2 linked regions of the Schizosaccharomyces pombe genome follow. Changing the gene in region 1 together with any one later gene gives a genetic interaction. Each region holds a gene or a part of one and is shown in the gene's direction. Other genes may lie near its edges. The genes, in order: atf31 and atf21.

Region 1 (5,252 bases):
CAACGCCTCTTCCGAAAACGGGTTAAAGATCGTAAACATTTTGAGTAGCCTGGATTCTAGCAAATGGGAAGCATACCTGGATCAAGTAGTAAATGCGGATTCCGCTGACGAATTAACGGTTTGTTTAACTTCAATTTTGAAAAAGGCAAAGATTATTCCCGGTTCTGAAGCTCGGGTGTTTGTTGGCTATGACTCAAGGTTTGTTTTACTTTTATTGTCGATATTAGATCACTTAATTTCTCCGCTTTTTTAAATCTTATGTCCAAGACTAACATCTAATACTTAGGTCTACTTCAGAAATCCTTGCGCAAGCTGTAATTGACGGTATTGTGGTCTGCAAAGCAAAGTACGAAAATTTTGGCCTTTTAACTACACCTCAGCTACACTACATGGTCAAGGCTTCTCAAACTTATGGTACCCCAGATGCAATAGGTGAACCTACTGAAAGAGGGTATTTTGAAAAGCTGTCGAAGGCATATCAATCCTTAATGACAGGAAAGAAGATTAAAGGGACTGTATTGATAGATGCTGCTAACGGCGTCGGAGCGGCTAAGATAAAAGAACTGGCCAAGTATATTGATCCAAAGCTGTTTCCTATCGAAATCGTAAACGACAATATTGATAATCCTGAACTGTTGAATAACTCGGTAAGTTTTTTTGATACATTGTTTACAATTGCATGCTAATTTACTAGTGTGGAGCGGATTTTGTAAGGACTCAGCAAAAGCCTCCAAACGGTATTAGTGCCCCAAAACATGCCCGTTGTGCCTCTTTTGACGGGGATGCTGATCGAATTGTGTATTTTGCGTTTGGCTCTCACAGCTTTCATCTGTTAGATGGTGACAAAATATGCGCTTTATTTGCCCAATTTCTAATCGACCTAATCCGTTCTACTGGTTTGGACCTTCAAGTTGGTATTGTTCAGACTGCTTATGCAAATGGAGCCAGCACGGCATTTTTCCAAAAAACTTTAAAGGTACCGGTTTTATGTGTGTCTCCCGGTCTTAAGCATCTTTACCATGCTGCTCAAGCTTACGATGTTGGAGTATTTTTTGAAGCAAATGGTCATGGTACAATTTTAGTCTCTCATGCTGCATTATCAAAGATAATTTCTCATGAAGTATTGTCTCCAGCCCAATTTAATGCCTTAAAAACTCTAAAAACAGTCTTTGAATTGATTAATCAAACTGATGGAGATGCTATTACTAATTTACTTTTGGTGGAAGTCATTTTGGCTCACAAAAATTGCACTTTGAAAGAGTGGAATCAGCTATATAGCGAAATTCCTAGTCGTCTAATTCGCTGTGAAGTAGAAGACCGGTCAATTTATACTACTACTGATGCCGAACAAAAACTAGTAACACCGGAAGGACTTCAAGAAAAAATTGACGCTTTGGTAGCAAAATACACGGGCGGTCGGGCATTTGTTCGATCATCTGGAACCGAGGATGCTGTTCGGTAAGTTCAATGTTAATTATCATTCTAACTCTAATTGTAGTGTGTATGCGGAAGCTAGTTCAAGGGGTGAATCTGAGGATTTAGCCCTCCGCATTGTTGAACTATTACATTAAACAATTTTTAAATTTAAATGTTAATGACTAAATTGGTTATGATGGAACTGTCTTGTTTAATGTTGTTTTTAGGGATATCTAGTAATAATTTTGGTTACCCAAATTCTTATATAATATCTAACAAAAATATGTGCATACATATGCGAATATACTTGTATACAGTTTGTTGATAGTAATTTTTTAAAATAACCAGGCATTATAATTTTGTTGTTGTGTTCACAAGAAAAAGTGTTTGTTTACATGGACTTCCTCACAATGCTTGAATTTAATATTCCCTCATAAAGGACTTATATAAACCTCGCGTGAGCAAACAAACGCTCATATTTGTATCAAGCTGTTATAAAGGATATTGACGGAAAGTTCAATAATTCACCTATTTACCAGTTAATCGGCATTATCCAGCTGTACAAATTTTATCGTTTATAGTGATCACTTTGAAATCGATTATTAAAAGAAGTTGGTGCCAAAAACTCATAAAAAAAATCAAATATATAATTCTACTCGTTTGCGAAAAAGAAGTCTTTCATAAGACGCTATAAATTTTTCTTAAAAAAATTATTGATCAATAAATCATTTTCAGCATGACCTACGAAACAAATACACCAACCGAGGAATCCATTATTCCGAAGCATGAAGATGGAGAAGAATACAACTCAATTTATCTTTCTCGTTTCGAAAAAGACATCTCAATTTCCCAAACCCTCGATTTTTCACAATTTATGCAAACTCAGATTTTATTGACAGCCAAACGTAAAGCTTTAGAGCTCGGCGACGATCGATCCCCTATTAACAATGATCCATATAATATCAGGAGAAGCGATTTTGATGAATTATCAGAATACACTGCCTCTAAAAGCCCCAGTATAATTTCCGAGGCTTCACACAACTCACCATCACGAGAGCTGGATGACTCAGGTGATGAAAACACTTCCAAATTAACTGGAACTAAGCAGTCAATGTTGAAAGCCAGAAACAGACAAGCTGCCCAAAAGTGTAGGATAAAAAAGAAAAAGTACTTACAAACATTACAAGACCAAGTCAACTACTACACTTCTGAAAACAAGGAGCTTTTGCAAAGTGCTAATGATTTAAGAGAAGAAATAATTAAACTGAGAACCTTGGTGTTTGCTCATAGAGATTGCCCAGTATCGAAGGCTTGCTCAAAAGCGTTGTTTCTAATGGGCAAGGAAAAACCGCTTACGCCTCCTTAAAAGTCCGAAATAGATCTATTCGAACTTTTTATGCATTAGACAGTTGATAGGTAAAGGCTCAAGAGGGATATAATCTTCTACGCCATTCATAATACTTAGGTCATTCGGAAATTGCCAAGTCCATCCTTGAAATGCGTTCTCTGGACACTTTTTCCCCTGGCCATTAATATTAGGATGAAAATACAACTTACCAAATTAGTATCCATATATTCAGAAGCCTTTTTCCAAGAACTGATTTCTTTATCTTTTTCCTTCGTATTTGGGGAATCAATCGTATGGTCAATTTTAGTTAACGGATCTTTTTTCTTTGTTAATGAATCAATTTCATCAGAATCAAATGCTAATTCATATGTCAAGCAAGTTTCAGTTTTTGAATATGAAAAAAGTGTCTTGATGTCTTCACCCGTAAAAAAATTCTTCTTTTGGCTTGCATCGGAATCCTACAATCAAGTCAGTATAAAATTTTATAATAAATCACATACTATGAACGAACTTGAAAGCCCTTGCTTAGTATTTTGGCGAATAAAAATGCGCTCATCTAGCATTCCACTGCTGCATAACTTAATATGTTATTCGTAAAAGCGGTCGTACCTTAAAAATGTGTATATACAGACTGGCCGCTTTTGCCCGCTTCTATATATCCTTGACAATGCTTGCAAATCTTGGGCAGGGTTCCAACTTGGTTCGTAAATTATTAACCTAGTGGATCCGGTAAGATTTAAACCGCAGCCACCAGCTTTGCTTGAAAGTAAAAGCACACTAAATTCTTTGAAGCTGGAAGTATTGAAATTGTGTACTATTAAATCACGCTCAGAGAAAGGAGTACTTCCAAGCAATTTACAGAAACGGACATGCAAAATTGATAAAAACAATTCAATCAACTCGAGAGTTTCTTTATATTGGGACACAATAACAGCTTTTTGGCAACCCCTTTGGAAACTTTTAAGTAGCGCAGCCAATATTTGCAGTTTGCTAGAGGAGAGCAACATATTCTCTTGCTCGAATACATGCTTATCTTGCAACTCCGTTGACAAAAAATTTTCCTTTTCATTTCTCAATAAAATGGTGCTATTGCATATCTTGCTCAAGCGAGTCAAAATTTTAAGATAATAGCCCTTCTGATCAACGCTTGACTTGAAACCATCGAGAACATGTCCATAAACATTCTCTTGTTGATGTGTTGGTTTTATGAATAAAACAATGTCGGCTATTATGTTAATACTGATTTTAATATTTGCATACTTCTTGGCGGTAAATGTTTAGCCAGTATATTGGCTTTCCTCCTTAACGTGAAATTGCTTGTAAATTCAAAAAGCTAAAAATCAGTATAAAATTTATCTTTAGTAAACAAACCCTTTGAAGTCTTGCAGCTCCCAATGATATGTCCCTAGAGGAAGCATTCATTGATCTACTCCTTAATATAGGCCGCTCATACTGAGCTTTAAAAGAATTTGGGGTCCCCAGAGATCCAGGAATTATAAAGTTAACCATAGAGAAATATTCTGACAAATCTGAGCGGTTAAAATTAAATAGCATTCACTGATTCATACCGTTTTGTAAAGGCGTACCAGTGAGAAGAAGCCTCTTTCTAGTTTTTAGCTTATTCAGCGTAATCCAAGTCTGACTACTCATGGACTTCAAGCGGTGAGCTAAGATTAATAAACTATTTATGAACAAATCAATACCTTCGTCGCAAATTAGAAGATCAATATCAATCCCGCATCCATAGTTTCTCAAGTACGTACAAACCTTTAGCAATTAGAAAAAAGAATAAATAAAGGAATTACCGTTTCATATCCTGTAATGATAATCGAATAAGTTTTGTTCGACGTAAATTCTTGGAAATCTTCAGCGCATCTAGCTATATAAACATGAATACGCTCGTGACCGAGCCAATTATAAAACTCATTTTCCCAATTCTAGCCATTAGTAATGAAGTTTTGAAACTTCTTACCTTCAAAAGAGTGACAGGTGCTACGACCATTGCATTGTTTATAGTCGAAGAACGATTGGCGTAATAAGACTGCTCTAAATAATAAGATTAGAGAATGAAAGTTAAAAAAAACCCTAAGTCTCATACTCAATAAAGTCCAGACAACTGTTATAGTTTGCAACGTTTTTCCTAAGCCCATTTCATCAGCCAAAATTGCACTATATCCACATTTTCCTTCCATTCCTAATAAACAGTCGTAAAGAAAGGAAACTCCTTCCCGCTGATGAGAATAAAGATGCTTTGAAAGGAAAGGATCAATAACAACATCTACATGCGTCCTGTAATGTTAGATCAAGCATTCACTTTTACCATACCTTGGATCCCAAGTCTTGGGCCTGCTCATCACCAAAGCTCCAAGCACAGTAGGATCATGCCTCGGTTTGGGTAGTGCTGATATTGTCTGGTACATTGTGTTAGGTCTCAAAGGTGGCTTGAATTTACGCTTCATTTCAGGCATATGAACGTCTCGGAGAGAAT
Region 2 (4,246 bases), on another chromosome or scaffold:
CAAAAGCTACAAGTTATATGAAACGGTCATTTGCAAAAGTCAGTAAGTTTCAATGACTATAATGAAAATATATTGACTCGACGACACATAGTGAATCATGAGTCAGAGTCCGTATGAAGTAATATGTTCCTAATTTGACGGCTGCATTGAAAATTCAGCAATCGGAAGGAATGAATAAGAGAAAAATATTCAAAAGAAGTGAAATAGCTACGTGGGTTAATCAATAGTGTCTACGTCCAATTATTATCTGAGGTATACACATGCAACAATCACGGCATTTACATCTCAGTAAATTAAAATAAAGAAAAATAATATCATTAAATTAAGTCAAAAGGTTTAAAGGTGATATCCTATGAATTCGGGAAATTGCCAACTATATCTTAGATAGTCACATTTCTACCAAATTGACGTAGAGCTTAATTAAATATTCCAGATGTTGCTAAAGTATTCTCATATTGTCAACTGCGAAGTTCAACATCTTTCGATTTGCAGAACTGATTCAATCCAGTGGCTAACTCATGGTCGTATGTACGATCCGTTCTGTCTATTTTGATTTAATGTGACCAAAAGTTAAACTTCATCTCGTGTATAGTTAAAAGATATGATAGTATACATACTAAAAATGAGAATTCTGGCAAACCAGATTTAAATCAATAACATGTTACTCTTGCTTGCGACAATATAAGTAAATGTGGGCAAGAAAGATGAAGAAGTATTAGAAACAAGTTGCGGCTAAATTTTGAGAAAGGATTGATAGCGGAAAGGCTACTAATAGTAATGATATGAGCTATTATTATCAGTAACGATAAAGCCGTTTATGGTGGCGCGCGTAAGAGAACGACAAAATTTGAAGCCTAGGTAGTTTCATCAAAACCATTAAAGGAAATAAATATGAAAAAAGCTAGCAAGAGAGGCGATATTATATTTTCGCATTCACAACTTTACTATTGACGACTACGAATACCGAGGGATAGCGTTATTATCTCTCCACAAGTAATCGGCTATTTTTTGATTGGTTTAAATAAAAGTAAATCCTGATTATATTTGACATAATCTGCATCAAATAGAACTCTAGATTTTCCTTTCCGAATATGGTGGCCAATTAACGGTACGACTGTGATGTAAATATTACACAGTGGAGCGACACGTGAATGTAGTCCCCTTCGGTTAGCTCCTTAAAATGGAGGCCTTAAAGGATAATACTGCTTGACTTTTTTAGCATAGTGCCTTTGTTAATTGCAACAAATCCCTTCAAACAAAAAAAAAATAAATTTTTATAAAGAAAAACTTTTTATTTCTATACGGCAAGTTCATCTCATAAAGTAAACAAATCATTTCCCGATTGGCTACCCTAGCCCTTCGTTTGTTTGTTTTGCAGTGACGTCAAAATTCATCTCACCCGATCAACATATATAAACATTGCGACACAAACCAAAAAGTTACCGACTGCAGCATCATATTTCTCAGCAGAAACGTATTCTTATAGTAATCCAAGTCCAAAATTAAGGAATTGGTATCTTAAACCACCTTAGTACATAGTTCTCTATTGTTTATAAGCCTCTTTACTTGCCAGGGACGCAGTAAGACATTGCTTCCTTCACCACCTTCATTATCCTTTACCTTCTTTCTCTGTCCACCTTATATATATATACTTATTTTCCCAGGAATCCTCACTTTTGCCATTAATCCATTCCATCCTTCTGTAGAACGACGAATTGTCATCCCTTCCTTTATCGTTCGTTCATTTCCTAAAACCGGGACACTACTGCATGCTTAAAACAGAGGAAAAATAAAGAGAGAACACATTTATATAATTGAAAGAAACTTTTCCATTGATAGCTCCTAAGTTTCAAATCACCAACTTGTCGGTTTATACATTCTTCATTTTCTTTTATTTACTTTTTTGAAGAAGTTCACAGGGATCACTATTCAGAAATTTTATACAAAGATATTGCATCCTTATTCATCAATCCAAATTTGCGTCACTTGATCGACCACAATTTGCTTCATCTTCCCTTCCCAATTTGTTTCGCCAGCACCTGAATAACATAGCCTCTTTTTAAGATTTAACCTTCTTCAAGAAATCACTACATATTCGCACTACTAACAAAAAAGAAACTTTCGCTTTTTATTTAGTCCGTTCTTGTATCAACTATCTTCATCGGCTTTACCGTCGAAACCATTTCAACCGCACTCAATAGAAAATTAACTTGCTCATCATCAATCTTCCATCATGGATTTCGCAAATGTGTATCTCGGGTTAGATACACTAGGTAATGAAGGATATGGTGCTAGCGTCAGTAATGGCACTCACCATGATTTTCATTTTAACTTCAATACATTCCGCGATGGTGGTAACCATGAAGTTGGAGAAAAACGCGCTGAATCTAGCGATATCGGAGTATATGAATGTAGAGGTCCAGTCCAGGGACCTAAAGATCAAACATCCTTTCCCTCGAATTCACATAATAACTACGCTTCAATAGTAGGTGATGCTAGCATTGGACATTACCTCAAAGGACCCGAGCGTACTTCAGAGGTATCATTACCTCAAACGGTAAACCTTTCGGAGATTTCTAACAATAATGACAAAGGCCAGCCTACAAATACTCCTCCTGTACGCTCAACAATTGTTGCACCTTCATTATACTCTGAAGGTAGTACTTTGAATCATTATAATAATGGATCTCATCAAGTGCTTCATCCACAATTCCAAAATGGAACCAACGCCCCATACGTAGTGCAGTCAAATCTTATGCAAAACAATGTTAATCTAACAGGAGCGGAACAAGAAAAAGGTTTGGACCTATATAAGAATTCCGCTACTGCGAATAACGATGAGATTTTCTATAATCTTGAATCCTTACGTAGAGAAGGATACTTAAACTCCAACAAGAAGCAGTCTCAATCTCCAAATGGAGACTACAACAGCAGCGATGAGTCCTGTTCCAATAAAACCGTCGCCTCCAGTCAACGACGGGGTACACCTGGCAGTAACAATGTTCATACCGCTAGTAACAATGAAACTCCTGATATGAAGAGGAGGCGGTTTTTAGAGAGAAATCGAATAGCCGCATCGAAATGCCGCCAAAAGAAAAAGCTTTGGACACAGAATCTCGAAAAAACAGCACATATCGCATGTGAGCAGTCGAAAGCTCTAAGGATTTTAGTCAGCCAACTACGTGAAGAAGTAATTTGTTTGAAGAATCAACTATTAGCTCATCAAGATTGCAATTGCGAAGGAATTCGACAATATCTTTCTTCAGAGGCTCAAGGAATTATGTCCTTTCAGAAACATTGAGCAAATGACACCCCATTGAATCAAGTTTCGTAACATTTTTTTATTATACTGTATATGCATTTCTGAGAGCCTGGATAGAATCTTGCAATAGGAGATGCTTAAAAGACGGCCAGTGCTGCTCTACTGCTTGTCTATAGTAATTGTACTTTAACTCTGGCATATTTTATTTTTCTTTTTTCACAATACTATTATTTTCTTCGCGTCACTGTGTTCATGGGATTTGCAATCTCACTCCAAACTCGTTTCATTCAATTGCTTGGGTTTTTCATTCATGTTTCTTCATTAAAAGTGTTTATGTTTCGAAGATCCTTTACGCACGTTTCATTTCCAGATTAATAATTACTGTAATGATATATCTTCCCTATATGTATTTTTTTAATAGGTTACGATTGCTTTACGAACTTGACCTAGATGAGCCAAATCTGTAATCACTGCCATATAATCTGTACCTCGTTCACAGACATGTCATTTTATCTTCAGTACGACACCACAGTTACATATATTGTTTGCTTTGGAATAAAAAAAAAATTAAGTAATAGAATAACACTTTCTGAAGTAAATGGTAGAAAAGATAACAGTATTCGTAGAGCAGCTATAATTATATGCATTTTTGCGTTTTGCAGCAAAAGATCACTATACTGCATAAGGAATTTTTATACAAACCATGTGTCTTTATTTAGTACATTAAGACTATATCCCGTTTCTACTCCTTCAGAAAGTGCTTAAGCCCTCTCTTAGCAAAGAAACGAGTGTATTATTAAAAGGAATGGCACCCTCAGAGAAAGACATTGAAGAGGTATCAGTCCCTGGAGTTTTAGCACCGCGCGACGATGTGAGGGTTTTAAAGACACGAATTGCCAAATTATTAGGAACAAGTCCTGATACATTTCCTGGATCACAGCCAGTTTCTTTTTCAAAGAAACATTTACAAGCATTAAAAGAAAA

What was found.
Region 2: of atf31 (region 1) and atf21, changing one enhances a phenotype caused by changing the other (phenotypic enhancement), as found in Schizosaccharomyces pombe (one study listed by BioGRID).

What each region holds. Positions count from the first base shown.
Region 1 is NC_003424.3:704,374-709,625, reverse strand, and holds atf31 (DNA-binding transcription factor Atf31), read left to right. Parts: upstream 1-2,152; coding exon 2,153-2,782; 3' UTR 2,783-2,797; coding exon of another isoform or gene 2,798-2,938; 3' UTR 2,939-2,973; coding exon of another isoform or gene 2,974-3,222; 3' UTR 3,223-3,264; coding exon of another isoform or gene 3,265-3,334; 3' UTR 3,335-3,373; coding exon of another isoform or gene 3,374-3,989; 3' UTR 3,990-4,024; coding exon of another isoform or gene 4,025-4,097; 3' UTR 4,098-4,135; coding exon of another isoform or gene 4,136-4,293; 3' UTR 4,294-4,332; coding exon of another isoform or gene 4,333-4,431; 3' UTR 4,432-4,467; coding exon of another isoform or gene 4,468-4,531; 3' UTR 4,532-4,569; downstream 4,570-5,252. Other genes in the region: SPOM_SPAC1296.01C (phosphoacetylglucosamine mutase), read left to right, coding at 1-198, 287-647, 695-1,458, 1,499-1,571; ATP-dependent DNA translocase Rdh54, read right to left, coding at 2,798-2,938, 2,974-3,222, 3,265-3,334, 3,374-3,989, 4,025-4,097, 4,136-4,293, 4,333-4,431, 4,468-4,531 and 4 more.
Region 2 is NC_003423.3:1,720,780-1,725,025, forward strand, and holds atf21 (Atf-CREB family transcription factor Atf21), read left to right. Parts: upstream 1-2,233; coding exon 2,234-3,301; 3' UTR 3,302-3,671; downstream 3,672-4,246. Other genes in the region: mRNA guanylyltransferase Ceg1, read left to right, coding at 4,068-4,246.